7 linked regions of the Mus musculus genome follow. The protein of the gene in region 2 interacts with the protein of the main gene of each other region in a pairwise test. Links are inferred from orthologs where the notes say so. Each region holds a gene or a part of one and is shown on either strand. Other genes may lie near its edges.

What was found.
Region 1: the proteins of Tfip11 (region 2) and Zgpat interact in binary tests that used the Homo sapiens proteins (3 or more experiments, as listed by UniProt). The two-hybrid records come from large-scale screens. The link is inferred for Mus musculus from reciprocal best matches to the Homo sapiens genes TFIP11 and ZGPAT.
Region 3: the proteins of Tfip11 (region 2) and Ccdc121 interact in binary tests that used the Homo sapiens proteins (3 or more experiments, as listed by UniProt). The two-hybrid records come from large-scale screens. The link is inferred for Mus musculus from reciprocal best matches to the Homo sapiens genes TFIP11 and CCDC121.
Region 4: the proteins of Tfip11 (region 2) and Bmf interact in binary tests that used the Homo sapiens proteins (3 or more experiments, as listed by UniProt). The two-hybrid records come from large-scale screens. The link is inferred for Mus musculus from reciprocal best matches to the Homo sapiens genes TFIP11 and BMF.
Region 5: the proteins of Tfip11 (region 2) and Leng1 interact in binary tests that used the Homo sapiens proteins (3 or more experiments, as listed by UniProt). The link is inferred for Mus musculus from reciprocal best matches to the Homo sapiens genes TFIP11 and LENG1.
Region 6: the proteins of Tfip11 (region 2) and Gem interact in binary tests that used the Homo sapiens proteins (3 or more experiments, as listed by UniProt). The two-hybrid records come from large-scale screens. The link is inferred for Mus musculus from reciprocal best matches to the Homo sapiens genes TFIP11 and GEM.
Region 7: the proteins of Tfip11 (region 2) and Abi2 interact in binary tests that used the Homo sapiens proteins (3 or more experiments, as listed by UniProt). The link is inferred for Mus musculus from reciprocal best matches to the Homo sapiens genes TFIP11 and ABI2.

The regions. Positions count from the first base shown.
Region 1 is NC_000068.7:181,364,014-181,368,257, reverse strand, and holds the start of Zgpat (zinc finger CCCH-type with G patch domain-containing protein), read right to left. Parts: upstream 2,836-4,244; 5' UTR 2,587-2,835; coding exon 2,006-2,586; intron 1-2,005. Other genes in the region: Arfrp1 (ADP-ribosylation factor-related protein 1), read left to right, coding at 3,561-3,653, 3,860-3,947, 4,162-4,244. UniProt on the Homo sapiens protein: Transcription repressor that specifically binds the 5'-GGAG[GA]A[GA]A-3' consensus sequence. Represses transcription by recruiting the chromatin multiprotein complex NuRD to target promoters.
Region 2 is NC_000071.6:112,325,005-112,329,301, reverse strand, and holds the start of Tfip11 (tuftelin-interacting protein 11), read right to left. Parts: upstream 2,934-4,297; 5' UTR 2,829-2,933; intron 1,818-2,828; 5' UTR 1,632-1,817; intron 1,341-1,631; 5' UTR 1,332-1,340; coding exon 1,120-1,331; intron 1-1,119. UniProt on the Homo sapiens protein: Involved in pre-mRNA splicing, specifically in spliceosome disassembly during late-stage splicing events. Intron turnover seems to proceed through reactions in two lariat-intron associated complexes termed Intron Large (IL) and Intron Small (IS).
Region 3 is NC_000067.6:181,509,130-181,512,964, reverse strand, and holds Ccdc121 (coiled-coil domain containing 121), read left to right. Parts: upstream 1-1,513; 5' UTR 1,514-1,579; coding exon 1,580-2,551; 3' UTR 2,552-3,332; downstream 3,333-3,835.
Region 4 is NC_000068.7:118,546,710-118,550,825, reverse strand, and holds the start of Bmf (bcl-2-modifying factor), read left to right. Parts: upstream 1-1,139; 5' UTR 1,140-1,163; coding exon 1,164-1,286; intron 1,287-1,655; coding exon 1,656-1,785; intron 1,786-3,226; exon of another isoform or gene 3,227-3,445; coding exon of another isoform or gene 3,446-3,455; exon of another isoform or gene 3,456-3,532; intron 3,533-3,813; coding exon 3,814-4,110; intron 4,111-4,116. UniProt on the Homo sapiens protein: May play a role in apoptosis. Isoform 1 seems to be the main initiator.
Region 5 is NC_000073.6:3,662,952-3,667,097, forward strand, and holds the start of Leng1 (leukocyte receptor cluster member 1 homolog), read right to left. Parts: upstream 2,890-4,146; 5' UTR 2,497-2,889; coding exon 2,365-2,496; intron 911-2,364; coding exon 731-910; intron 74-730; coding exon 1-73. Other genes in the region: Tmc4 (transmembrane channel-like protein 4), read right to left, coding at 2,989-3,057, 3,151-3,229, 3,868-4,023, 4,097-4,146.
Region 6 is NC_000070.6:11,703,030-11,707,394, reverse strand, and holds the start of Gem (GTP-binding protein GEM), read right to left. Parts: upstream 2,949-4,365; 5' UTR 2,829-2,948; intron 1,491-2,828; 5' UTR 1,482-1,490; coding exon 1,154-1,481; intron 1-1,153. UniProt on the Homo sapiens protein: Could be a regulatory protein, possibly participating in receptor-mediated signal transduction at the plasma membrane. Has guanine nucleotide-binding activity but undetectable intrinsic GTPase activity.
Region 7 is NC_000067.6:60,433,539-60,437,215, reverse strand, and holds part of Abi2 (abl interactor 2), read right to left. Parts: intron 2,974-3,677; coding exon 2,806-2,973; intron 161-2,805; coding exon 1-160. UniProt on the Homo sapiens protein: Regulator of actin cytoskeleton dynamics underlying cell motility and adhesion. Functions as a component of the WAVE complex, which activates actin nucleating machinery Arp2/3 to drive lamellipodia formation.

The sequences.
Region 1 (4,244 bases), on a different chromosome or scaffold from region 2:
GAATATGGGTGGTCTCTGGGGACTGGAGAGAGAGCTCAGTGGTTAATGTTTTCTGTGAGCAATTCCAGCTTTAGGAGATCCAACACCTTCTTCTAGCTTTCTTGGGCACCTACCTGTACACATGCCCCACCCCCACCGCAATCTAAAGATAAATGTAAATACATAGAGCTAGAGAAATGGCTCAGTGGCTGAGAGGATACTGCTCTTGTAGAAGTCCTGAGTTTGTTTTCCAGGATCTATGTTCGGCAGGTCACCACCACCACCTGGAACGCCAGCTCTAGGAGATCCTATACCCTCTTCTGGCACCTGTACACACGTACACACGTACACACGTACACACACACACACACACAAACACACTAACTAAAAATATATCTTAGCCAGAAATGGTAGTGCATGCCTCTGAGTTCCAGGCTAGCCAGATCTATATAGTAAGTTCCAGGAAATCCACCAGGACTACTAGAGAAACTCTGTCTCAAAAAAGCCTAAAATAGTCAGGCCATGGTGCAAACTTTTAATCCCAGCCTTTCGGTAGTGAGTTCAAGGCCAGCCAAGGCCTTTCATAGCTGTATGTAGTCCAGGACAGCCAGGATTACATAGAGACCATGTATCAAACCACCTTACCAAAACAAAATGAGACAAAAGCAACCGATGGATCTTTAGAGAAAAACATTAAAAAAGTAAAAAATAAATAAGTCAAAATAAGGGGCTGGAGGGATGGCTCAGTGGTTAAGAGCACTGACTGCTCTTCCAGAGGTATTGAGTTCAATTCCCAGCAACCACATGGTGGCTCACAACCATCTGCAATGAGAGCTGATGCCCTCCTCTCATGTGTCTGAAGAGAGCAACAGTGTGCTCACATACATAAATAATTTTTTTTTTTTTTTTGGTTTTTCCAGACAGGGTTTTTCTGTGTAGCCCTGGCTGTCCTGGAACTCACTCTGTAGACCAGGCTGTCCTCGAACTCAGAAATCTGCTTGCCTCTGCCTCCCAAGTGCTGGGATCAAAGGTGTGCGCCACCAATGCCCAGCAAAATAAATAAATCTTTAAAATATATTTTTTTAAAAATCAAAATAAAATAATAATAACAACCTTAAAGAAAAATGGACAAAGAAATGGGTTCTGGATTCTGCCCTCAGACTTCCAAGGCTCTAGCCCTGCCTAAAATCCTGCCAAGTGAAACTAATTTTAGTTCACTACTACCATTATAATAGAACAAATCTTTTTATTTTAGTGGCCTAAAATAAATAAATTCAAAGTACTAGAGGGTTATTCTGGATGACTGAGTTAAAAAAAAAAAAAGACATAAATCAGTTTTAGTAATTATTATTTCAGCTACATTCTGAAGTATTTGAGGGTGAGAGAAAAAGATGTAACTTGTGAAAGGTGCTTTCAAGTAGCACGGGGGGTGGGGGGGAAGGTAGGGCAAGTCAGCAAGAGATTATGTGTTTGAAATTTTCTGTAAGACTATGCAAACTACAGGAGCTGGGATGGGGCTAAGGTGTACAGTAGTTGGTTGCCTGGTGTGCTGGAGGCCCTAATTCCATCCTCAGCATAGTCAATAAATTTTTAAAAAGAGAAAAAAAGAAAAAAGGTTCCGAGCTGGAGATGTAGCCCAGTAGAAGTGGTGGCCTCCACCTGTAATCCTAGCATTTGGAAACTGAAGGCGTTCAGGATGTAGTAGAGTTGCTGACGGATCAAGAATTCAAGGACATCGAGAGTTACTACACTGCTATCTCAAAGGGGAAAAAAAAAGTTTTACACCTTGGAGAAGAATATTGATGAAGGATTGCCCTATCTTTTCAACATAAGCTCTTTCAAACTTCTTGATGTATGCAAGAAAAATCTAAGTAAACACACGGAGAACACTTCTGTAAAAGCCTGTCAGTCACCTAAGGTTTGGACTCTATTACCAACTCTGCTGGGTGCCAAACTAGTTGTGGCGACAGGCCACAGCGGTGGTCCCGACTGCGTGCCCTTCATTGCTAGCAGCAGAGGGTTTTACCTGCAGTTCTCCTTGAACCGGCACTTTCCCTCCAGGAAGAACGGACAGGGCTTCAGGGACTTGTGGGTAGGGTATAGGTAGAGGACTCGGACGCACGCAGAACCATCCTCCGCCTCTTCGGCGCCCACTACCATAGCGTTGTGATACTCCAGCGTGCCCCAAGCGCTGTAGTAGGGGGCATTCACTTTAGCACCGCTCAGTTCCTCCAGATCTGGGTCCTCCTCCTCCTCCTCCAGTGCAGAGGAGGTGGATCCCGGCTGCACCTCGCTCCCAGGGGCCGTCTCCGAGTCATTGCAGGGGGCGCCGGGCGCTTCCACTTCCTCCGCAATGGCCTTCTGGAAAGCCAGGTACTCAGCATCCTCTTGAGCTGGGCTCTCCTGGTCCACTGTAGACAGCAGCTTGCTCTTTCTGACCGACAACAGGCTGGCCTCGGTGAGCTCAATCAGCTCCTTTAGATCGCCCTGCAGCTGACGCAGGTCCGCCTGCTCAGAAGCGTCTAGGCCAGCACCGAGCGCCAGCTCTACCTGCTGCAGCTGGGCCCGGTAGGTCTGCAGGGCAGTCTCTAGGTTGTCCTCGTCCATCCCGACCCAGCAGGCAGGATTCGGAACCTTTACCGCAGACAAAAACAGGAGGAAGAGCAGTAAGAACAACTCAGGGCAACGCCGCCCCCAAAACCGCTAGGGAGCCTGAGGAGGGCCGCGGTTCCGCCGAGGGGGACCTGCACGTCACCCGCCCCGTCCTCTGCGGCCCGCAACCCCACCTCCGGCCGGCGCTCGCAGGCTAGAAGGGCTTCCGCCCTCGCCAGCCAAGCTCACGCGCTAGCCTTCTGCCCTCCGCCGGGCACTTCCGCCGGAGAGCCGAAGCTGCCGGAAGTACCTGCGCGCGGGGGCCGCTGGGATGCGATTCCGCCCGTGCTCCGTCCTTCGCTCCTTGTTCCGTCAGGCACTGTGAGGGGTCAGCGTGAGGTCGGTGGGGTTAGGAACGCGGCGGCGGCGGCGGCGGCGGCGGCGGCTCCTCCTCCAAGATCTGAGCAGGTACGGGTGGGCCTCAGCTGGACTGAGGGGCCGGGGTTCTAAAGTCCTGGAACAGGGGGACGGAAGTGGCTTCAGCTGCTGGTTCCCAGGCTCCGTGGGCCCGGCGGCGGCGGGAAGCCGAAGCCGACCCTCCTCAGGAGCTCTGCCTCTCTGGTCGCTTCCTAGACTTAAGTCGCCGGCCGCGTTTCCTGGTTCTGAGTTGAGGGTTCGGAAAGAGGAGCCTTAGGAAGGCGGAGCAGAGCAGGCCGCCACGGGCTTTTCAGGACTCCGAATTGATGGTGCATTATGAAAGATGACATTAAGTGGGAGTGGCCCAGGTCTAGCACGTGGTCAGCGATGGCATCGGGGGAATCAGGGTCAGGGATTTTAACAGAAGAGGCGGGATGGGGGCGAAGAGTCAGGATCCGCGAGGCTACACATTTGAAAACTAGCAGGAGAGGCGGACCGCTGATGAAGCGGGCAGGGCAGGAGGCCGATGCCCCCGGTACACACATTGACATCTCTCAGGGTGCCAGAACAGGATGTACACGCTGCTTTCGGGATTGTACAAGTACATGTTCCAGAAGGATGAATACTGCATCCTGATCCTGGGCCTGGACAATGCTGGGAAGACGGTAGGTCCCTGCTCTCTCACCAGTTCCCATTCCCTGCCTGATCTAACCCCCGCCCCAAGGCTACAGGTTAGTAGTCACCAGCCTCCTGAAGATCAAGCCACAGGCAGAGGCGTGCATGGCTGCATGGGTGTGAAGGGATAGGTGGGAAGGACACCAGAAAACTACTCTAGCTGCTGCTATCTAACCCCCTCTCTTTTTTTCCTCAGACTTTCCTGGAACAGTCAAAAACACGCTTTAACAAGAACTACAAGGGGATGAGTCTATCCAAAATCACCACTACCGTGGGTCTAAACAGTAAGGGGGCACCTTAGGGATATGATCTTAGGAGGTCCCTTAGAGATGGATGCTGTAAGGTCCACAACCCAGCTGACCAGTGGTCAAAACCCTGTCTTTCTATTCTGTGTTCAAGTTCCCTAGGATTGGTACCAGAATGGTTTGTCCCATCCTGGGGAGAGCTGGAACCTTGTGTGTAAAGGTCAGGAGCTAGCTCTTTCTGTACTCTTTCCAGTTGGCACTGTGGACGTGGGAAAGGCTCGTCTCATGTTTTGGGACTTAGGTGGGCAGGAAGAGCTGCAGTCTTTGTGGGACAAG
Region 2 (4,297 bases):
CTGCTCGAAAGAGAATTCCTTAGAGAGAGAGGCCCTCAATAATCTTACATTTAACATTTAAAAAATATTATATGGGGGGGGGGCCTAACCACATGACACTGTGGGTGCCCGATGAGCCAAAGGCTCGATTCCCTGAAGATGGAATTAGAGGCACTTGTGAGCTGCCTGAGGTGGGCACTGGCTGGGAGCCACACTCAGGTCTGCAATAGCAATTGAGTTCAATCTCAATTGCTCCTGGGTCCTCTTCCAGCCCACATTTTACACTCGTGGGGTCTGTTCGATTCAAACTATAACTGAAGATTTGCCACTGTCAGTAGGGTTGAGTATAAATTCAGACTAGGATGTAATAATCTTACTTCCTTTGGACGCTTTCAAAAATGCCATTATTGCTCTGTGCAGACAATTTGTAGAGCATCTCGTCCCTTTCCCCTTCCCTGTAGGAATCTGGTGACTGAACCCAGCTAGCCAGGTGTGCATGGCAACAACCTCCGAGGCATCAAACTGGGCCCCCTTTTACAACTGAAAAGACTGTGTTAGCTTAGTGTCTGCTTTGCTTTAGAGTGGTACAGCACTTATCTAGCATGCCTGTAAACACACACACACACACACACACACACACACACACACACACAGTGTTTGTTTTAGATACTATTTCAAGGATAAAAGTCAGAACAACTCAAACAGATAAAAATCCTAAGTAAAATTAATCAAAACATTCTGAGTGTAGTTAGGTGGGGAGACTTGAGACAGCATCTTAATGTGGACCCCAGGCTGTACTACCACTCTCCCCTGTGGACCTACTCACTTTTCTACCTCCGTTTGGTCCAACAGCGTTTTCTCCAGAGCACCCTCTCTAAACTCCCTGTTCTCTAGTGCCCTGTGAGTGCTCCCTGACACAGCATGGCCCCACAGCTGCCATGCCTGTGGTGGGTCAGCACTTCCCTATCCATAAGTAGCCCTGATCCCATCACACAGTAACTGCTGAGGGGGAGCTCGCCACCCCAGCTCAACAACACATAGCAAGATGCTGTAGCACCCGGACTCTACAAGGGCAGAAAACTCTTCTGGGATGCCTTCCCGATCCTCCAGACCCAGGGCATGCAGCCCAGCACACAGTACCTTTTGCCTCCAAAGCTGGGCCTCTCCTCGTCCGAGTCTCGCTCCGCCCACACCCCGTAGGTGGCCTCCTCTTTGGTCTGCCAATGGCGCTGCCGGTTGGGGTTGAACTCATTCTGGAGATCCCAGTCGGTGATCTCAAAGTTCTCCCTCTCATCGTCATCGTCATCATCAAGGTGGCCTTCGCCATCCCGGTACAAGTGGGACAGAGACATGGCCAGTCACTAGAGGACGGTGACAAGAACAGCACTGTGAGAACCTGGGGCTAGCAGAAGATCCGCCAGTGTCAAAAAGCTATTAATGAGCCTCATGATCCAACTCAGTAAAGCAGCCATTAAACAAAGGGCAAAATGACCAGCTCCGTGACAAGTGAGACAAGTCAGACCCAGCCATCCGAAGGGGGCCTAACGCACAATGCCTTGTCAGAGTCAATCACCATGCACGCGTGGGGCGGGGCCACAGAATGACAGGCACATATGCCACAGAAAGGAAGCAACAGCTCTAAATGTTATTACCTCAGAAACCAGGTTGGTCTTTTTACTTCTCCAGGAAAAGTTGTATCTAGCCAATTTGCAGTTCCAGGGAAACTTCAGAGCATTTTCTGAAATACTATTTCCACGGGACTGAAGGTTTCCTTCCCTGAACGGCTTCTACGGTACTGGAAGGTTGCAGTCTTTCTGAATGCCACTTTGCAGTCACTCCTAGAGGGTAGGGAAAAAACAGTGTTCTACCCAGGTAGCTATTCATCTCTCTCTCTCATAACTGCATTCATTCAGTTCCAGGAGAAGCTTGTAAGGACTGATTAAGATGATACTTTCGAAAAACAAAAGCTCCAACACTTTGGAGGCAGAGAGGCAGATCCATCTCTCTAAGTTCAAAGCCAGCCTGGTCTCAAAACCGACAAAACAACAACGAAAGCTCCGCTCCCAGTAGGTGCTCAAGAAACAGCACCCTTACATCTTTGACTCTAGCAGTAGGGAGGCAGAGACCAGGGGGGTCTGAGTTCAAAGCCAGCCTGGTCTACAAAGCAAATTCCAGGGCAGCCAGGGCTGGCTGCTAAAGAGAAATTCTGTCTTGAAAACAAAAACAAAAAACAAAACAAACAAACAAACAAAAAACAGAAACGGGGGGAAAGGGAGGAAAAAGGAAAAAAAAAAAAAAGCATCTTCTTCCACTCCATGATCGGGTTTCAGGTTCACACTCATTACAAGTCAGGACTGCGAAGTGAATCCTTCAAAATGATTGTGAAAATCATTAACACTTAACACCCCAGCCTGAGTCTAAATCGCGCCTCTATGAACACCTGTGAGTGTGGTTATCACATTCAAAGGTCCCGACCCGACACTGTGTGCATTGCACAGTAACATCCTCACTATGTGACACCAGTGACTGACAGCGTGAAAACGGCTCCGCGGTGACTAACAGCTCCCCCCCCCCCCCGCTGCTCCTCCTCCTCCTCCTCCTCACTATGCACCGGCGAAACTCAACAGGTTCCGACCCCAGCAACCAGCACATGTTGAGTTTCCTCAAAGGAGCAGGAAGCCCTAGGCCCACTCAATTACAGCACCGCCACCTCCCCAGCACAGGGGACAGGAGACGCTCAGCTCAATGTCAGCAGCGGGCCCGGAGCGCAGGGAAACCGTAAAGCCGTCGTCACGGAGCCTCGGAGCCTCAGCCCGCGCTCCCGGGACGCCACCCCGCCGCCTGCTCACCTCGCTCAGCATCCGCGAGAGCCACACAGCCTTCGCCCAGCGTCCCCGAATCTGCGAGGGTCCCGCCAGCCCAAACCCGGATGTGGCCTTTACCGGCGCATCGGAAATACGTCATCGCTCAGAGGCGGAAGTGGCGCGCTGTTGCCCCGGCAGCGACTTCACGCCGGAGGGGGCGTGTCTGCAACCCGGAAGGGCCGGTGATCCCGCCTCGCGCTGCTTCTGGTTCCCATCGGAACTGAGGCTGAGTGGCCGTCTCGTTCCAGGGCGAGCCGTCGCCAGGCACTGGAGTCTTACTTGGCGTTACCAGCGTCACGAGGACACTGAGAGATTAAAATGTCCTCGCGACCCCATGTCGAGTTCTCTCCAGGAAGCAGTTTTATTGTTCTCCTCTTTGCTCTAGTTATTTCTCTGTCGCTGGGAAAGAACGGAGTTGGGGTTTCTTGTTGGTTTGATTTGGTTTTGGTTTTGTGAATTTTCAAGACAGGGTTTCTCATCCTGCCGTGGTGGCGCACGCCTTTAATCCCAGCACTTAGGAGGCAGAGACAGGTGGATTTCTGAGTTCGAGGCCAGCCTGGTCTACATACAAAGTGAGTTCCAGGACAACCAGGGCTACACAGAGAAACCCTGTCTCGAAACCCCCCACCCCCAAAAAAAAGAAAGAAAGAAAGACAGGGTTTCTCTGTGTAGCCCTGACTGTCCTGGAACTCATTGTGTAGACCAGGTTAGCCTCGAACTCGGGAGATCTGCCTGCCTCTGCCTCCTGAGTGCTGGCCTTAAAGGCGTGTGCCAACGCGACCCACAAAGAGCATATGTCATCTTTTTACACATCTTACAAATCTATACATAGTCTGGTGCCATCTCTGGTTCTGAAACTAATTTGTTTTCTCTAATACCCTAAAAGGCTGGGTCCTGGTGGGTTTTGTTGTTGGCTGGACTTATTTTTGTTTTCCCCTGTCAGCTTGATACACACTAGAGATATCTAGGAAAAGGACTCGGTGCTTCCATCGGATGGCCTGTAGGCAAGACTGGTGTCGTTTGCTTGATTCATGATTGATGTGGGACGGCCCAGCCCATTGTGGGTGGGGCCTCCCCCTGTGGTCCTGGGTGCTGTAAGCACAGGGAGCAAGCCAATAAGCAGCGTTCCCTCCGTGGCTTCTACTTCAGTTCTTTTTAAAAATGTCTTTGGACTGTAATCTGTAAAGCAAATAAATCAGTTTCCTTCCCAAATTGCTCTTGGGTATGGTCTTTACAATACAGCAATAAAACCTAACCAAAAAACATGCAGGAGGATTTGTTAGTGAGGCTCTTGGGGAGTCCGTCAGAGCCAATGTGATACTGTGGGATCAGGGTCCCTTCTTGGGGTTTTATGGTCACGTGAATGAAAGCATCTAAGAACTGATACAGAGAGCTGAGGGCGGGCAGTGGGGCCAGGGTTGGGGGTGGGGGCGGGAACGGCAGGCAAGTTGTAA
Region 3 (3,835 bases), on a different chromosome or scaffold from region 2:
CATCCTGGATCATTATTGCGCTACCTTGTCTGCAGCTGTCTCCAGCTAATCACCAGTGTGTGAGTCTGGCGGCCAGAGAACTCGATTGTACTGTCATGCTGAGGCTCTTTTGGTTTATTTGGGCTTTTTTTCGCAGCTGGCATCTGCGAAAGCCCATCTCCAACAGATGAGTTAGCACAATTATACCAGTTATGGGCACTCGTCTGTGTCTCACATCCTGAATCTCCAGGAAATCAAGGCAGAGCCTATAGAAGCAGAGCTATTACCCAACATGGGCATTGTGTCTTCTTATATTTAGATTTCATGGGGACAGTGATTATAGAAGCCCCGTGGTTTCATATCTTCAAGGCATCCGGCACAGGCTGAGTTCCAGCTTGGGGCCATGGGGTGAGGGGAGCTGTGGTGTGAGGGGATATGACCGCTGTGTTTGTCAAACTCTGATGGCAAGAATCATTGCATTAACCCCAGATCCCTCTTTCCTCTCCAAAACACCCAAATCAGAATCTCAAGGGAGCAGTCTGGGAAACCATCACTGGAAGAATCCTTGGGCAGTTAGGGAATCACTCTCTGGGAGAGTATAACAGTCTTGCCAAGGGAGCCAAAGGGGTCGGGGGTCAGGGGTCAGGGGTCAGGGGGCCCGACAGATCCAACTACCTATAGTCCTGGACGAAGATGTTACTTCTTAGAGCTTCCACATCCTTTCATGAACTCTAAGAGATCTTATCTGTATTCAAGGATTGAGACACTGAACAGCATACAGAAGACTCTGCAGTCGCCCTTAACTTTGGCCCCACTAGGAACTGGGTCTGCAGAAAGAGCCCCCGACACCCTGATGTAGACTATACACACCAAGAGAAGGCAGAAGACATGGACATTCCATGCACAGTCGATTGCCAGAGGCTGGGTAGGCCTTTTAGCCACCTTAGCATCTGAAGGACCCCCACTTAGGCTCAGAGCTTTCTGAGGATTGGACAGAGGGTTTCTTTGTGAGTGGGGAGAAGGCAATTAGCGGGTAGTCCTTAAAACTGCAGTCATATATCCACAGAAACCAATTCTCTGGACTCTTACCCCTGGTTCAGAAATCTTGAGTGATGATTGTCCTAAATCACCTTAGATGTTCTATATGGACTTTACTGGTGCTGGGTCATCGGTGCTCATACAGGCCTGGCCTAAAACCCCTCTCAGCTTCAGCCACCTCATGCACTGCGTGGTGAGGCCCGGACTTGGAATCCAGGCTGAGTATGTTGACAAACTCTAAAAGTCAAGCAGGTCTGTTTTCTCTACCCTCCTCGTTATGAAGGGAGGACATATGCTGTTCTGACACCTGTCTGGACTTCCTGGCACTGGTTTGGACAACAAACAGTGTGACTGTTTAACAAAAAGGAAAGAGAGTCAGAAAAGCCCTGGACAGCCTCTGACCTGCTCTGACTTCCTGGCAGGCTGAGTGTCGCTTGGTCGCCTTGACCACCAGAGGGAGAAACCTTGGGAACATTTGCTCAGGACTCTGTGCCCTGAAACAACAAACCACCATCCCATGCTCTCTTGCAGTCACTCTCCTTGACCTGGGGATTCAAGGAGTATGCTTGCCCAGAGCCCTGGAGATGCACCCCCGCCAACACCACACCTTACTATTCTAAATACATATCTCAAGCCAAAGTTGCTAACGAGCTTGGAGAAACGGGTAAAAAGGAAGACAGTGGTGGCGATGAAGGAGCTGAGCCAGCAAATCCAAGAAACCAAATGCCGGCGGGAAAGGCTGCTGAAGGACAGCAGGCAGCTACTAGAGGAAAAATACCGTGTGCAGGCTGAAAACCAGCTTTTCATGGAATACCTGCGTAAAAATAAGGAACAGTGTGAGAAGAAACAGGAGGAGCTGTGGAAGCAGTACGTCCAAGAATGTGGCGAGATAGAACGCGAGAGACAAGAATTGGCATCCAGATACAACCAGAGAAACGCAGCTCTTCAAGCCCAGCTCCTGCAGGGCAGAAAGACCCAGAAGGATTTGAAGCAGCAGTTGCAGGCACTGAAGCCAGTTTACAAGATAAAGGAGGGCCAGGACGTGAAAATACAGACCTTGGAGAAGGAGCAAGAGAAAGTCCGAAGTGAGACTGCGACCAAGGACCGGGAGGCGCACTTCCAGTTCCTGCGGGAAAAGGCACTGATGGAGAAGGAGCTGCAAGAGTGGCATCTGATGGAGCTGGGGCAGATCAACACCACGGGGCTTACGAGGAAGTACAAGGCCTTGGCGCTAGCAGCCAAGCAGGCTCATTCTGAGTTCTGTGGCAGTCTCCACAGGGAGAACCAGCAGCTACGCAAGGAGCTTCAGCAACTGAGCCAGGAGTACGGCAGGTTGGATGCTGTGAGGAGCCAGCTGGAAAAGCACCGGCAGCTGGCGAAGGAGCAGCAGTGGTACCTAGAAGCCTTGACCAGAGGGCGGCAGCGGCTGCAGGCAGAACGCGAGCGCCATCATCGTGGTCATAACCCACGCCTCAAGGAACAGAGAGCTTCAAAGACCATGCTGAGCACCAAATCAAAAGCAAGTTCAAAGTAACAGCTACTGCAACTGAATTGAGGCGCAGGGAATAATCTACAAGCCAAAAAGTATCCTTCGTGGAAAATAGAAACACACTTTCAGGAAGGGCAGTTGTTGCAGCATGGGGTCGTGCTCCTTGTCTGGGACCCACATCCTCACTGTCTGTGTCCCTGGGGCTGTTGTAGATTCCGGAGATTTAGAACACTTGGAAAACTTTTTAACGGGTTATACCACCCATTTTTATAGTAGCATTTGAAATTCTCAGAGTACCTAGTTAAGACATGTATTTTACCACACTTTTTTTTTCTTAATGTGTACTCTGCAGTCCACAAAGTATAGTGTATAGCTTACATGTTCTATGTATTTTGGGCCATTTGAAGCAAATAAGAATCTTATTTTAAATTGTAGGGGTTTGTTGGTTTAGAAGGGTTTCAGGTTTGCATTTGTGATGAACTGTTTTTGTTGAACTGTGGGCTCTGGTCTGGAAGAATAGCCTTGTTTTTGGGTCATGCCCCTGCATGGGGAAAAACATAGCCAGCTTCATGTTTCTCAGAAATTTTTGGCAATGAAAACTTCAAGGTAACTGTTTAGCTTTATTTATGTGTAAAACAGTTAAAAAAAAACAACAGGATTAAAGGGTAACTTAGCTTGTCAATGTGCCTTATCATCTACTTTTAACATTGTTGGCGAATATATATACTTTGCCATTAAACAGGGTTGTTAAAAACAAAATTTAACTGTAATTAGTTCTTAATGCTCCCCAGATTTATTAATGTAATAAAAATACTATATCCCTCAATATTTTATGGTATTATTGCCACCCCTTTGAAATGACAGAACATGCATGTGATGATGTACACCTGGTAAATAATGTAAGCATCCTGACTTGGGGTCAGGCCACTATGTCACTGGCTAACAGGTGGGTAGTGTATACAGCATGGACGCACTGGGCAAGGATGATTTGTGACCCTTATGTGATGCCAGCATGGTACAAGGTCTCACAACACTACTCAGACACACAAAATATATGAATTGCATTCTTCCAGAATTTTCCATTTTGTTTTGGACTGAAACTGAACACAGACAACTGAAAGGTAGAAAGGGACGCCGTGTGTCAGGGGAATTGTCACAGTGCCAATCCAGTCCCCCCATCTCCACTGCCACCCCTGCCTACTGTTTGTAAAGGAGAGTCCACAGACCAAAGGCTGTTATCTTTAAAGCATTCTTACACTTCATTCTTTTCTCATGGAATAAGTATTATAAGCTCACCTTGAGCTTCGAGGCCAACTTCAGATCTTTTTC
Region 4 (4,116 bases), on a different chromosome or scaffold from region 2:
TTACTTTTAAAAAATACAGACTCCTCAGCCTGGTATTCCAGGGGGCACCTCTGCAATCTGACCTGAATCTACCTGCCCATACCCTCACATCCTAAATCATAGTGAAGATGCCAGAGAGCTTGATGGGGGGGAGGGGGGACGGGGGGGGCGTGCAGCTGATCTTGCTTTCCAGACATGTTAAGTACTTTATTCTAGCTCCCTGACCTCTCTGGGTCAGGACTGTTTTATTTGGTTTTTATTTAGTGAAATATTCCCCATTCTTCAAGGCCCGACTCAAAAATCTTTGCTTATTATCCCTAAAATAGCACCATTCAAGCTGGTTTCCATCATTCACATGTGAAGTATCGGTTCATTGAGGTCAGGCACCAGAAGTCTAGCACTTAGACCAGGACCTGGCACATAGTAGGTGTTCAAAAAAATGTGGAGTCATCCCTAGATTGGCCATAGTACACGAGATGCGTTTTGCTTTCTTAGCAGTCCAAGAACAGCCTTCTGCTGCTGCCATAGATAGGGCTGTCCGAGCTACCCCTTTGATTTCCCCTCTGCTAGAGTCCTTTTTTCAACAGTGATCTTCCACAGTCTAGAAGAGAGGACATGGCCTTTCTTTGCACTTGATGGATCCGAATGTCATTTGGTTCTAGATGCAGACACACGTGTTCTCCTCCAGCTTTCCTCAGACACGCCCAACAGGAAAGAGGGCAGTTTTTTGTTTTGGTTTTTTATTTGTTTTGCTTTTTTTTTATTAGGGACCAGCAGCTCGGTTTTTTTTTTTTTCCGCTATATATTACAAGGCGCGTCTGAAAACTCCCAGTCTCCTCCTGAGCCGGCTTTTTGGAAGTCCTGCAATAACTCAGCCCATTTCCAAGTAGACAAAAGTCACTTAGGCGTCTTGTCCCCCCACTACCTAGTAGAAAACCTAGGGACTCTCTGTCGTTTCTGGGGCTTGCATTAGGAACCGAATCCTCACCCTCTACAGCGCTCCAATTGCGCTTCTGACGGAGGTCAGAAATGCGCCCGGCCCCTTATAATGTTTCCAAGGGAAGGTTTGTACATTGGTGATTGTCCCTGGCAGCTGCCCAGCTTGAGACTTGGACCTCCACTTGCCATTGGTCAGTGGTTGGAGTGACGCAAAGAGGGGCGGGGCCTCATCAGCTGTTTGCGGGATGCCCGGAGCGGGCGTATTTTGGAAACAATACCGCGCGGTGTGCCGTGGCCTCCTCCCGCGCCAGCTCGCGCCTGCAGCAGTCGCTGCCGCAGCCCGCGCCACCGCCTCCCACCGCAGCCCGGTGAGCGCCCGGGCGGCGGGGGGCTAGGCGGAGTTGGATCGTACCTCCTCCGGGAAGTGGGGAGCGGAGTCGCGCAGCGCGTGGGGGCCCGGGGAAGGGTTTGGACTGCGGGCATCTGGGGTGACCACGGGGAGTTGGGGTGCAGGGATGTGGGAACGAGGTGCAGAGCACAAATTTGTGGTTGCTGCTCCAAGAGGGGCTTTCGGGAAGCATTTGGAATTCGGAGTTAAAAGTAGGTGAGCAAATGATCCTGGGGTCCACTGCCAAGCTCCCGGACGCTCTGGCCTCCGGGTGTAACTGTGGGGTGGGGCCGTAAGTTGTGGTGCATTTTGCCTCCCTGCGGAGTCTGAAGGCTCCTCTTCTTAACAGCTGGAGTTTGCCCCCTTCTTCCCAATCGAGTGTGGGCACCAAGCCCCCCGAGTGTTCTTCACCCTGGACCCTGGCGCAGAGCCCTGGCATCACAACTCGGAGGCTGAGACGCTGTCCTGGAGTCACCCAGGTGTGTGTGCGTGTGTGCATGTGCGTGCGCGTGTGTCCTGAGATCTTAGCCACTATTGAGTTCAAGGTATCTGGCTAGTGCTAACTCCTAAGAGGAGGAGTTTATATTGAGCATCCTAGTTGGATCGCCGAAGTTCTGCGATGGCTCCAGCGGACTTTAAGACCTTTGCTAGGAATAAAGCATTCCCTGGCGGTGCTCTCAGGAAGTGCCCTCTTCCTATCAGTCTGGACTTTACCACTTTAGCTCAGGGAAGCTGAGGGTCTCCACTCTTCCCCAGTTTACTTTTGACTTTGCCCAGAGCCCCTCCGAGGTTCACACTAACTGGAGAGCCACCTGCAGTTCTTGTGCAAAGTGGGGGGGGGTCCTCCGCGTTTTCAGAGCCACACCCTCTGGCTGCACCTCCCCCACTGTCCAGTCTAGGCAAGGGTTGAACTTTGGGGCTTTGCTGGGAGGGGGAGGGGAGTGATAGGCTTCAAAAGAAACACCAAGACAATGACTCCTGCTTGTGATTGGCTCTGGAGAGTCCCTACTTTGGTTGGGATAGCCACACTGCAAAGAAGAGGTTGAAGGACAGAAGAAGCACTGCTAGGTGACATCTCTTGGTCCTTTCATCTGGAAACTTTACGCTGGAGTTACCCCTTTCCTATCGGAACAATAGCAGGCATGGAGTCATTCTCCAGGGAAGAGGGCACAGGACTACGGATAGCTCAGGGGTGGGATGGGGTAAGGCTTGAGGGTTGAAGTAAGAACCTCACAGAGCTTGCATTTGGGAAAGTAAGGTTTCTGAACCTAACTGAGATTTCTGTAAAGACTTAGCCCCACAAACTACTTGGCTTGTCTTTCAAAGGCAATAAAGTGGGGATCGGAACTCCCTGGAATCCCCAGCAGTCTGATGATGACAAAATTTGTCCTTGCATCTCCTTAACCATTCAGGTGCTTGTTGATGCTTCTGGTTGCCCCAGGGGCCCTAACTCAGGCGAGGTCAGCTTGGAAGTTCAAGCTGCCGGGTGACTCCAAGTGCAGAATTTCATGAGCTGTCAGGTGGAGCGAGAGGAACTTAACACTAAGAAACAGCCCCACTGTGTAGGCAGGGAGAGAGCGCTCAGCAGGAGGGCTGAATTTCACTTCCTTCTGCGAGGCACTTTGCACCTATCTCAGGTTCAGCTCTGGCAGGAATGGGAGGCTGAGTGGATGAGAATTGGAAGTCACGAAGATTAGCGAGTAGAATTAGCTGGACACTTTGCTAGAGGCCGATTCAACCCTCCAGATTAACCTGTGGTGAGCAGGCAGCTTTGCTCCTCTGGACGGGAGCTAAGCCAGCTGGCCAGCTGGAGTGACTAAGTTACGTCCCCTGTTCCAGGACACACTCACCACACCACAGAGCCTGTTTGTTGTGTTGTGCAAGGAGGGGGTGGAGATGTGCAGCAGGGTGGGGCTTAGCACGTTAGGAGGGAACCTGGCTGCTCTACAATTCCTGGCTCTTGTTTTTGCTGCTTAGCCTGGAGTTCAGACTTCGCCGAGAGCCTGGAGGTTCCTGCTTAGGAAGTGTGTGTGTGTGTGTGTGTGTGTGTGCACATAAGTATGTTGTGCACTTTTGTATAGTCAGTAAGTGTCCCCTTCTGAGCCTCCACAGCCACTTACAGAGGCTAGTCTTGCTTCTATGTCCCCAGGTACCCGGTGGTAGCACCTGATCCTACCCTTGCTGTTGCTCGCAAATCCTCAGTGTCAAACTTTGTGACCAGCCTAGGTCAGAGGAGGGGGTGGGGTGGGGGATGGGGGGAGGGTGGCTCTGGCAGGTACAGAGAAAAGGCATGGAGGGGCCCTGACCATAGAGGCCACATTTTGGGGGTGAATGTCACCCTTGGTGGTGTTTTATTACCAGGGTTGTGTATCATCAGAAGTTGGCTTGGTTCCCTCACATAAGAAGAGCAGGGGTGGGGGGTGAGGGGGGAAGGAAGGAGGGGAGGGGAATCCTAGGTCTGGCCTCAGTAGGACAGCAGCCCAGATGCTTCCATTGTTCTCTGACAGGAGAGATGGAGCCACCTCAGTGTGTGGAGGAGCTAGAAGATGATGTGTTCCAGTCAGAGGATGGGGAGCCAGGGACACAGCCTGGGGGCTTGCTCTCTGCTGACCTGTTTGCCCAGAGCCAGCTGGACTGTCCCCTCAGTCGACTCCAGCTCTTCCCTCTCACCCATTGCTGTGGTCCCGGACTCCGGCCCATAAGCCAGGAAGACAAGGCCACTCAGACCCTCAGTCCAGCTTCCCCAAGCCAGGGTGTCATGCTGCCTTGTGGGGTGACAGAGGAACCCCAGAGACTCTTTTACGGTGAGT
Region 5 (4,146 bases), on a different chromosome or scaffold from region 2:
GAGGCTGAGTTTGGGCCTCTGCTGCACTCTGGCCCAAGTAAGTCAGGATACCTAGTGCTTTCTCTTGTCTCTCCTGCAGAGGCAAGAAAACAAAATAGTCTTTTCAGTCCCTCTGGGAGCCCTAGATGTGGCAATAGAAAAACCCAGGGCTCAAATTTCTGGAGACGGGGACTGGTAGACAGTCATTTAACAAGGGAGATCAGAAGACCATTCAGGAAGCACCAGGGGCTTATCTGCAGGAGGAGGAAGAAAGAGAGGCTGCGGCCTGTGCAGTAGTGAAGATGGGAGAAGCTTTGGGAACAGTTTAAGGAAAAACCTGCAGAAAAGCAAAGTGGAGGAGTGATTTTTCAGTGGGAGATAGCACCTTCAAAGTTCGACGAGAGAGAGGAGAGCCACAGTACAAGTCAGTTTGAAAAGCACAAATGCTGTCTGGAGATGAGTGCCTATGATCCCAACACTTGGCTCAGGAGGCCAAGGCAGGGGGATTGAGAATTGGAAAGCACCCCTGGTCTGTGTAGTTGTGACCTCATCTCAAAAATAAAATAGCTTAAGACTTTTTTTAGTCCCATGGGAAAAGGTTAGCCAGTTTAAGTGCTGTACAGCAGTAACCAACTTACAGGTAATATCTCTCAGTCATATTCTAAAAATTTTAGAGTGCTTATCACCATATCCTAACAGTCACAGCCAGTCCCCACCCCCATGATTCCACCAAAAAATGAGGCCAACTTACCTTTTCCCGTCGCTTCTCTTCCTCATGCTCTTTATTGCCTCTGGGAACTCCTTTCCTTTCTTCCAGCAGCTCCCTAAACAGGTCCACAGGGCCAGAACTTGGAGCTCCTGGGTCTGCTGCTTCCAGCTCAGGCACTGAGTTTCGTTGCCTGGCTTTCTTCCGTAGGAATTCCGTACGGGCCTATGAAGGGTTATAGGGAAGACATTCAGAACCCAGAAGTGCTGAGGATACAAGAATGGTCCATGGGCAGGGAGGGCAGTGGTAGCACACACCTTTGAACCTAGCATTCAGGAGACAGAGGCACATGGATCTCTGAATTCAAGGCCAGCATGGTCTACAGAGTGAGTTAGTTCCAGGACTACACAGAAAAATCCTGTCTTGAAAAGAGGGGGTGGGGGTGGGGCAAATATTGAGAGCAAGAAGAGATACCATTTCTAACTTGGAGTGGAGAATCGATGTTTTTAGACAGTAAACTGGGCTATCAGAGATAGTTCAGAGAAGATCCCTGACCTAAAACAGAAGGCTTCCCAGTCTCAAGTGATGCAAGGAAAACCCACTCAGGTATAGGTATAGGTGGCTTGTTCAGCCATAGAGCCCCTGCCTTGTGTGTAGTTCCAAATTCAGTCCCCAACACAAGTATGTATATACTCCCAAACTTGTAAGGTAATCAAATATTGCTTTCTGGACAAAGGATCTAAATCCAAGGTATGGCTCCAGGTCACCACTCCAAGTACAACCTGACCCCAGATAGGGATGGTCTCTGATTCACAATTCTCCCCTTTCTGCAGCCTTAGTATCTGGGATTAATTACAAGCGTCACCTTTTTGTTTGTTTGTTTTGTTTTGTTTTGTTTTTTAAGACAGGGTTTTTCTGTGTAGCCCTGGCTGTCCTGGAACTCACTTTGTAGACCAGGCTGGCCTCAGAAATCCACCTGCCTCTGCCTCCCAGGTGCTGGGATCAAAGGCGTGCGCCACCGCCACTACCCGGCTTTTTTTTTTTTTTTTAAGCCCACACTAATTCATGATCAGATTGGCCAAGGGACTTAAGTGTAAACCAAACTAATCGAGTAACTTAGAGTCTGTGATGTGTGTGTGGTCTTCAATACTAGCGTTCAAGTGGAACAGGCAAGCTGAGTTCAAGACCAGCCTGGTCTACGTAGCCAGTTCCATAACAGCCACGGCTACACAGACCCTGTTCCAAATAAAACCTCCAGATGCTCTTTTCTTGGCAAGCAATGAGGGAGGGAGAAAAGACATGCCCAACGAAGTGGACCCCGGCTTGTCCGCCCTTTGCCCTCCTTGCTGAAGCCGTTGTACTCAGAGCAAGGTGACCGCACCCCTCCAAGTTGTTCTAAGAGGGAATTTCTCAAAGCAAGCGCTCAGAAGGAAGGGAGCATACACAGAGTGGGTGATCAGTAATTAACTTGTGCGGGCAACCTATAAAGTAATCAGAATATTTGTCCAACTCTTCCAGTATGCTAGTCTCTGGTCCCTCAACACCAGTGGGGAAATCTAGGAAGGTTTCTTGGAAGTTAGCACAGGATTTTCAGAGAAACATCGTCGAACACACAGACCCGCTCCCGGCACCGAGTGATAGCTAGGCCCGCCGCGCTTCTGGGCGGTCCCCAGGCTTACCTCTTGCTGGGCGAGCAGCACCCTCCGCTCCCGCTCCTTCTCCTCCTCCCGGGCCTGGGCCTCGTCGCGCCGCACGCGGGCAACATTGTCCTTGTTCCGGACGTGCCAGCTCTTCTTCGGCAAGATATTCATGGCTCCAGTGCCGACCTCGGACTGTCAGGCCCACTCTTCAGCACTTCCGATTGGCTCGAGGATGCTCCCGCCCCATGGTTCCACCCTTGCTCGTGCATTGGTTCTGGGCCAATTGTCACGTCCCATCCTAGCCTTGTTTAGAGATTATTGGCTGAGAGCCTTCCATCTCAGCCAATCCTAAGCATTTGTAACCTGAGTTGCTCCACCCCCGGACGCTGCTTGATGAGGCTGTTGCCTGTCTATTCCTTTAAGCAGACATAACCTAGCTCTTCAGGCCGATTTGGACCTGGCCCCTCCCCAAACCCCGTCCGAGGCTTCAGAACGGGGTTTCAAAACGCAAAGCGGCCTTGACTGTTGTTTATTAATACGGTTCAATTGAGAGTGTAGCATTCGGGTGGCAGAGGGCGGGGAATTTGGTTCCAGAGATGAAAGAGTCCCATCACTTGATATGAAGTCACTGAAGCTGAGGGGCTGAAGGTTCAGCCAGACTTATCAGGAAGTTCCATTCCTTGAGCTCAGAGCCACAGCTCGCTGGGCCAGGAAGACTTTATTCTGCACTTCCTGCGGGCAAAAAGGAGCGAAAGTGAAGCACACCTTTTCATTCTTCTTTCATAGTCTCATAGAGCCCTTTCCGGGGAAATCAGCCTGGCTCACCGTCTCTATCTGGCGTTTGAGCTCAGAGATGAGGCGTCCGTAACAGTTAGCCAGGGCTACGGTATACATCATCAGGATGCTATGGAAGACAGGAATGAAAATCACTCTAGAAAAACAATCATCTTCATCATATGGCTCCTTAGAAACCAGGCTGGAGAGATGGCTCGTAACCGGAGCACTGGCTGCACTTCCAAAGGACCGGGGTTCAATTCCCAGCCCCACATGGCAGCTTACAATTGTAACTCAAGTTCGTTACTTCACACAGACAGTCACACTGTCCAAATACCAACACACATAAAAATTAAATGAATAAGTAAATTAAAGAAACCAATATCAGGATCCTCAAATCCCTTAAAACCCTTTTTGAGACTCTGAACACAAGTCTTTATCCTCTCTCTTTAGACCCAAAAGTTCAGACCCTTTAACCAGAGGTTAAACTAGAGGTTCAGGCTCCATACCTCCTCCCCCTTCATCAAATCGATAAATCCACACCCTAGCCCTCCTTTCCTCAGACCAGGAATCCAAACCCAGATGTCTTTTCTTAGACCCTAAGCATTCACACTCCGACTCTCCTGCTCTTGATTTATAGGCATCCCGGCCAGCCCCACGTCTCTGTTGTATATAGGCACCCAGCCCACCTCTCTAGCACTCAGGTGCCCAGAAACTCCTTTCTCTTTCAAACACTAAATTACACACATTCAAAGTCTGACTGCTCACCTAGAGAGGATCAGAAGAGGTACAGTAAAAGCTTGGGTTCCCAGAAAGTAGAGAAAATTCTGGGCAGTCTGAGGGAGGCTCTCAATGGCCTCAGGGATCTGGGCCCAAATGGACAGCTTCCCGCGGAACGGGCCACACAGTTTCGAAGGTGGGATCCTGTAGGGGGAGACACACTGGATTCAGTCAAGTCGAGCTAGAGTGAGAACAAACAGAAGTCTCTCGTACTTACAGGAAGATACTGTAAAGCACGGGAACTGCAGAGATCGCCAGACCCACAAG
Region 6 (4,365 bases), on a different chromosome or scaffold from region 2:
AGCCATCATTCATGGCCCGCAGTCCCTGAGCTGCCTCTTGAAGCACTAACTCCCTAACACCAAGACAGCTGAGGAGAATTAACCCTTTCCATGAAATGGGCTGTTGTAGTGAGGAGTAAGATTTGCACACGTTGAATAGAGAGAAATGAGACGCCACTAAGCCATCTTTCCCGAGCTTACTCCTCTCATTTTAACTGAAAGTGGGGACAGACACTGAACAATCCTCCCTCCATTTCTACAGCTGTAATTAGGGGGTGCAGCTGTTCCAGGTACATATACTGATGTTGGAGCTCTAGCTGAAGGACATTGTATGACAACAACTGGCTACCCAGTTGTAATTTCCACCCCAGAATATTAAAAAGCTACCACCTGTTGTTGTGTATGTATGTTTGTACAAAGTGGGTCTAGAAATAGGTAAGAATTAAATAAATAAATCCTGGAAATAGGTCATATACAGAAAATCATCTGGAGACCTGTCAGGCTCTATGCAGGGCATTTATCACCATCTTCATAGCTCAGTTTTTTAAGTTATTATGCTACTTCAAGTACAGCATTTGACCTACTTACACTTGCAAATGCTTCTAATGTTAGTGGAAGCACACTAATCGATCCACTCTAGCAGGTTTCTTTCCCTTCCAAATCGGTTCGGTTTTATGCATAGTCACAGAAAACGTTCCAGTAGTGAACTCTCCAAAACCAGTCCAGGGTCAAGTCAGCCTTCTTGGACCCCTCAGACCTGACCTTCAGAAAGCCCCTTGATAACTTGGGTCAACAGATTTGGTCCTGCGTACATGTATTCCTCCTGTCTTGTCTTTTTTTGTGCTTGAGGCTTTGTGCCAGCAGTTAGGCCTCTGTCACCATCTCAGTATTGAGAAGGTATAGGTTCTCCTAATCCTAAAGATACATTTTGTTTCAATTTGTTGTTTTTTTTTTTTTTTTTTGAGACAGAATCACATAGCCCAGGTTAGCCTCAAACTCTTTTTGTATCTGAAGATGACCTTGAGTTCCTAGCCCTTCTGCTTCTTCCTTCCTGGTGCTGGGATTGCAAGTGTGTACCATTATGCCTGGCTCCCAATTCTGCAGAAAAAATGACCCACTCCCTCTCACTCTTTCTGCTTACAAGACAGAAGCCCACCGGGGCTGGGCCACCTACCTCCCAAGACCTCACAGTCGCTGTCCATGCTGTCATGCACACCTGCAAAGATGTTGGCCAGGGTGGACTTGCCCACTCCTTGCTCCCCTATAAGCACTACTCGGTAGTAGGTGTTTCCAGACTCAGAAGAGATGACCGAGTCTGTGGAGTCGGACGACCAGCTCCGCCGGCAGTGCTCTTCCGGAGCAGTAGAGTGGCGGTTTCGGAGGTTGCAGGGGTGGGGATCCTTCTGGACCATCAGATGCCTGGCATCAGCAGGGATACTCCAGCGCTGCTGTGGCTGCATGCCCACAGTGCCTTGGCGCATGGTGACATTATTCAGAGTCATTGCGGGATCCTAGGAATCAGAGCAGTAAAGATGGCAATATGATTAAGAATGAGCCAGGCCCAGGGGCGCTCAACACAGTTGTCTTTGGTGCTTCATTTGATGGGTATGAATTCTTAATGTAAGAATCAACCACTAAACTGTCCCTAAGCCTAGAAAGCAAAATTTTCAACAACAACAACAACACACACACACACACTCAGTAACTAGCTTCTCAATCAGGCTGTCGTTTGTAGTAGCAGTAACACCATCCATCCATTGCCCATAAGCTCCCTCTGTCCTTAAAGGAGCTTTGGAAATCCCACCGGGAGTTGGCACAGAGGCAGCTGGAAGGAACCCATTGCCTCCAGAAATGACATTACCATCAGCAACAAGTTAGAGCTGCTGGGCACCAGCTGGCCAGGTTAACTGTTCTTGTCTAAACATGGCTCTTAATTGCCCCCGCATCCTGCAGTCTTGAGCCTCAGTGGGAAACACGCGGCAATGACATCACTCCCCTGGCTGGACTGGACAGGCACTTTGGGGGAACTTCCATGTTTAGTAAGGTTGCCCTGATGTCCTCCAGCTGCCTGACTGAAGAGGCCGTTATTTGGGGAGTGGGACAGTTTCTGTTTGAGTGCTATGCCTCAGCTCTACCCTCTTATCTACAGAAACTGTTTAGCGTAGCAGCCCTGAGGCTGGTTCTTCTGAGAGGGGAAGGACCTGCTCACATTCAGACACATCACACTTGTACAAAAAGGGCTTCATTCTTAAGGAACGTCGTCCACTCCATGATTTTTTTACTGTATATAATTATTTATTTTAAAAATTGCACCTTTCTGACGTAAATTAGAAGATCAGAGACTCAGTGAAAAGCCACTCAACAACTTCCTACAACTTTTTCCTTGCAAGACTGCCTTGCCTGACAGGCAGTCTGTTCTGCCAAGACTGCCCGAGATAACCGCTCTATGGTTTTTAACTCAGCAAGCTCCCCGCGTGAGCGCAAGGATCACGCTCAGCTCACACACCCTACTCCATACATCACACCTATGCCACGATCCAGAACCAGCCGGTTTCTTTTTAAGTCTTAAAAACAGTCCCTGGGTTGACAGACTTGCGACAGCAGACCTTGAAGTCTGCCGCCTGGCCACCTAATCTGTAAGGTGACACTCCTCCGAAATTGAATTTAGAAACCCCCATCAGAAGCGCATCCTTTGCGCCTGAACTTCTTTCTCCCACGGCAGAACCCCCGGTACAGACCTAGGGAGTCTAGGGACTGGCTGCCTTCCTAACTTAAAAAGTTCGGAGACCAGGAACGCCCCTTCCCACAGAGGCTCCCACTGGGACTGCCCCTCAGCCATGGCCCCTTACTTGGCTGCACTGGGCGCTGGGTGGGCGTCTGCCGTCGATCCGCCTGCTGCAACGCCTGACGTCTGCGATGCGGGCTCCGCAGTCCGAGGCTGTGTGATGTCCGCTGGCAGTGCCGCCTCCTGAAGCCTCCGCTGCCCGCCGCCGTTTATAGCGCGCCCGGCAGCCCCGCGACGGGGCTTTTCCGTGACGTCAGCGCTCCCGCCGGGAGGGGGCGGCTCTGCAGCAAACTGAGTTGCAGCCACTTGGCTAAATCAGTTACTCGTAGTCATGTGACTCCCCTATCCCCTTGAGGGGAGTGAGGGAGAAAAAAAATGACAGTTCAATCGTTGATTTTGTTTTATTTTCTTTTTATCAGGTGGACACTGGAAAAATACACTTAGTGCTACTTAATCGCCCTTCCCAGCAGAGCACTTGTAAGCTGTCTGAATAAAGGATGAGGAAAGAAACAGGCCCAAGCCGCGAGTCCAGCTTTGCCAAGAAAACAGATCCGTCTGAGTGAGCGGGACTCCGGCCTCCAGGATGAGGCTACAGCCACCCTGAGTGGACAGACCACCTTCAGAGCATGCTCTGAGAAGCAACCAGGCCCTTCCTGCTTCCTGACTTCTTATCTCTGACTTGGGACATACTGCTTTGTTTCCTTCTTCTGGAAGAGATCCAAAAGAGAAGAGTCGGAGGAAAGAGTAGGGGATCTTGAAAAGGGGCAGGTTGGCTCCAAGCAGCTTGTGCTAAACACTGCCATCCCCCTGTTTTGGCCACAATGCTGAATCTCCTCCATCAGAAATTTAATCACACCCCAATCAGCGCATCTCAGAACCGAGCTGCTCAGCATGGCTGGAACTTTGGCCTAGAGCCAGGACTTCCCAGCCATGGGGAGATACAAGGAGGCTCAATCCCCTGAGAGAGCCCTACTGCTTCTATCATTTGCTAAGATTTGCAAAGACCTGTGGTTCTGGTGGGCCTGGAGAACCTTGCCCTTACTACAGTTGTGGATTGAGAACAAGAGGCCCTGCAATGAAACCTGCCTTAAGTACATTTTAAACTGCACTGCTAAGTGACCTCTTCCCCAGGACATGGGTATTTCCCGGGGACGTGGGCATTTCCCACATGCTGTGTTTAGAGTCCATGCTAGCCTTTCCAACACATCCATCTGCTTCTCCAGCCAGCTTCTGCTGTGGGTTGGCTGGCGGCCCCTCGGGAAGCAGCCAGCACCAGTGTCTATTGGAGTGGCTGGGCTGCTCTGTGGTTACAACGGTGTCACGAAGGCATCTATGCGATTTGGGAATTATCCAAGTGACCAGCTGCACCTCAGGTCTGTCAGGGACCAAGCTGGCAAAGGTAGAATCCACCAAATAAGAAAGATGGAGAGTGCCTTAGTCTCAAAGGCAGAGCCCCAAATTTATTTATGCACAAGGAAGATAAGAGCCAGAGCCAGAATAGACTATAGTTTGGCCACTCAGGAAGACTTTAGGTGGCCAAACTAAAGTCTATTCTGGGTACCATAAAGCTCTGGATACGGCTCTTCACCAGCCACGTTTTT
Region 7 (3,677 bases), on a different chromosome or scaffold from region 2:
TGTCATCTAAAATTGTGTAGTCAATAGGTTTTCGAATATAACGAACTGGCCGCTCAAGGTTGGCTGGCGCAATAATCTTATGGGTCCTTGAAGTGTTTTTATTGGTGGTCAAAATACCAATTTCTCTTCTTGCAACCTTCTCTTTATGAATATCAACTGTCTGTAAGATATAATATAAATAAGACAACACAAAGACAGATAGCCCTGGTATCCAAATAAATAATAACCAAATGCCTAGAGATTCAACAATCCTTCGTATTCATTTCATAAACCACCTTTTCTCTAGACTATTGTCTTTATTCATTTTTAACCTAATGCAAGGGTCACCAAAGCATGCCTTCAAATATAACCTGGAACATCACCTGATTTTTACAGCCCACAAGAGCAGAACTTAGAATGTGCATGTGTACATGTCTGCACAAATACCTATACAAATATGTACACACATATAGGTGCTAGTGTGTGTGTTCACATGGAAGGGGTGTACATATGTATATACATGCTTGTGCATATGGAAACCAGAGGTCCACTTTGAGTATCATTTTCCATAAGCTGCCTCCCTTGTTTATTTGAGTCTCCCACTAGGACACAGGTCTTACTAATGTGTCTGAGCTGGCTGACCACCTAGTCCCAGGCACCTGTTTGTTTCTGCCGCCTGGCATGAAGATTCCAAGTGCACACTACACCCATCTTTTTCCATGGGCTTGGGGACAGAACTCAAGGCCTTATGGATGTGCAGCAAAGACTGGAGCAACTGAATCATTTCTCCAAGCCAGAGTGATCATTTTCAACAGAAAAGAAAAATAAATAAATTAATATAAATAAAATAAGAAGCCAGGCATGGTGGTAAATGACTTTAATTCCAGCACTTAAGAGGCTGAGGCAGATAGATCTTTTAAGTTTGAGGCCAGCTTGCCTGCTCTACATAGAGAGTTCAAAGACAGCCAGGACTATGTGGAGGGACCCTATCTCAAAAAACAAACAATAAAAACAAAAAACAAAGAAACAGCAGAGAATAGTCTTGTTATATTTTTAAAAAACATATTAGTATAATCTAATATTATTTAAATACTACAAAGAAGGAACAAGACTAAAATATAAATATTACAAATGGGGATCAAGGGGTAGAGTGAGGGAGTATACCATTTGCCTAACATTTACAAGTCCCTGACGTAATTCCCAGCATCCACCTCCTCCCTTCAAAACCATCATTTGACAGAAAAGCTTGTTAGCTTCAGCAAGTTGCTTACATCTTATTAACACAACATTGATCACATATTTCATTAGAATTTATCAAGTGCTCACATTCATAGTACAAATAATATTTTTATTTATATTCTTTAATTATTTGCTAACAAATAATACATTTCTCATGAAACACTAATATAGCATTTCACATAAGTTATAATTTTGTAATCTATAAGTAACAAATATTTTTAAGGCAATACAACAGAAAGATAACTGACTTGAGTCAAACTTGAGTCATATCCGTTACTGTGCTGTGATGGGTAGACATAACCTATAATACTTCCCCACTCTGAAATAAGCCAAACTGTCTAATGTTGCCAAGCATCTCCCTGAGGGTAGAATTGCCAAGATCAAATACCAGAGATCTAGAAAAACTTCTAACTAGTTTCTTGCATTACTTACTCAAGTAACAACTGTGACTGCCTACACTGGCTAGACTTTATGTTAACTTGACATAAGCTGAAGTCATCTGAGAGAAGGCAACCGCAATTGAGGAAAATGTCTCCGTAAGATCGGGCTGTTGCCACGTCCTGGGTTCTATAAGAAAGCAGGCTGAGCAAGCCAAGAGGAGCAAGTCAGTAAGCAGCTCCCCTCTAAGCCTCTGCCCCAGCGTTTGAGTTCTTGCTCTGTCTCCAATGATGAACTGAGATAAGTAAGTATAAGTAAAATAAATCCTTCCCTCCCCAAGTTGCTTTGGGTCATGGGGCCTCATTACAGTGGATCTCTAAGACACTGCCAAAGAACAGATATTTAGTGTCATTAACTACTTTTCATTATTATCTGGATACAGAGCTCATAGCTACTCTCCAGCACTATGTCTGACTGTCTGCCACTGTACTTCCCACCATGGTGATAAAAGACTAAACCTCTGAACTGTAAGCCAGCTCCAATCAAATGCTTCCCTTTATAAGAATTGCTGTGCTCAACATGAGACACTATTCTCACAGGAATAAAACACTGACTAAACCACCAAAGGGGAATTTTAAAAGCCTACTGACAGGAGAAAAAAATTAAATTAGCCACCAAGCTATCAAATCATTATTTTTAAGGCAATAAAGACACCAAACAAACAAACAAACAAACAAAAATCTGTCAAAAAAAAAAAAAAAAAAAAAAAACCTGGGTGGTAGTGGTGCACTTCTTTTTAATTCCAGCACTCAGGACAAAGAGGCAGGTGGATCTCCGTGAGTTCAAGGACAGCCAGAGTGACACAGAAAAACCCTGTCTCAAAAAAACCAAAAATAAAATAAAATACCAAAATAATTTTTCACTTCAGGAGTGATTATGTGACTGTGGCAACTGAGTTTTAATAAAATCCATCAAAATTTACTTTTCTGTCAAACTATAAAGATAATAACATCACAGCAGGACATAAAGTGAGTAAGTAAAACAATATATTAAAAAATTAAATTAAAAAAGATAACATCACAAAAAGAATCATAAACAATGCAATACTAAGTTAATATGTTGCAAATACATGCACATTAACCTGCACAACAAAGGCAAGTCAACAAGCTGTGTGTTGCTCATAGGCAAACAAACTGAACATGGTCTCACTTGTGAAATATGGTTGATTGAAGACTCCATCCTCCGTAACTGTGATGCCTGGATATCCAGCATCTGTAGGACATTGTTGGCCAAGGTGTTTATCAGATACGCAACACTTGCTAAGGATTGAGTGGTGTAGGCTTTGGTTTCTTCTAGGGCTCGCTGCTTATCTGGTGACTGTGAAGGAGGAAAATAGTGACCTTCAATTTAAAGATAATTAACTTCTAGCAAACTAACTTAGTCATTTAAACCACAATGCTACTAAACCTATACCAAGTTTAAAATATTCTGAAAAACATCATTGTTACACAATTCCAAAACTAAATGATTTAATGAGCTCACTGATATTTTCAAGATAACTATACATTTTTATATATACATTTTTATGTAAGTACAAATAAAGTTCTAAAGCTAGTATTTAAAATCTGAGTTCCAGTGTATACTTTGAGCAATGACAGCACATACACATCTTCCCAATTTAACTCCTTCGGCAGCACTGACATGAATGCACAAATACTTATTCTACTTTCTCTTGATTTCCTTTTATTCTCACACACAAAATGTGTTTGATCAAAGTATTAATAATGATAAATAAAATGTCTGATAATAAAAATAATTATAAAATTAAAATGCGAGGCTACTCTGTTCTCATGTCATTTAAGAGACAGCCTTATGGGGTAGAAATTGCCAATGTCGGCCCTTTCTTAGCAGTCAGTAGCACCTATCTCACAACTTCCACAACCCAGAAGCCTTATTTGAAAAACAGGGATTATGCAGCAAGAAGTAACCAAATGACTATTTTCCAGGTTACTGCAGACCAACATATTTTATTTTGCCACCTACAGGAAGATTCTGTGGTGTATAATAAAGCTAATCCATGT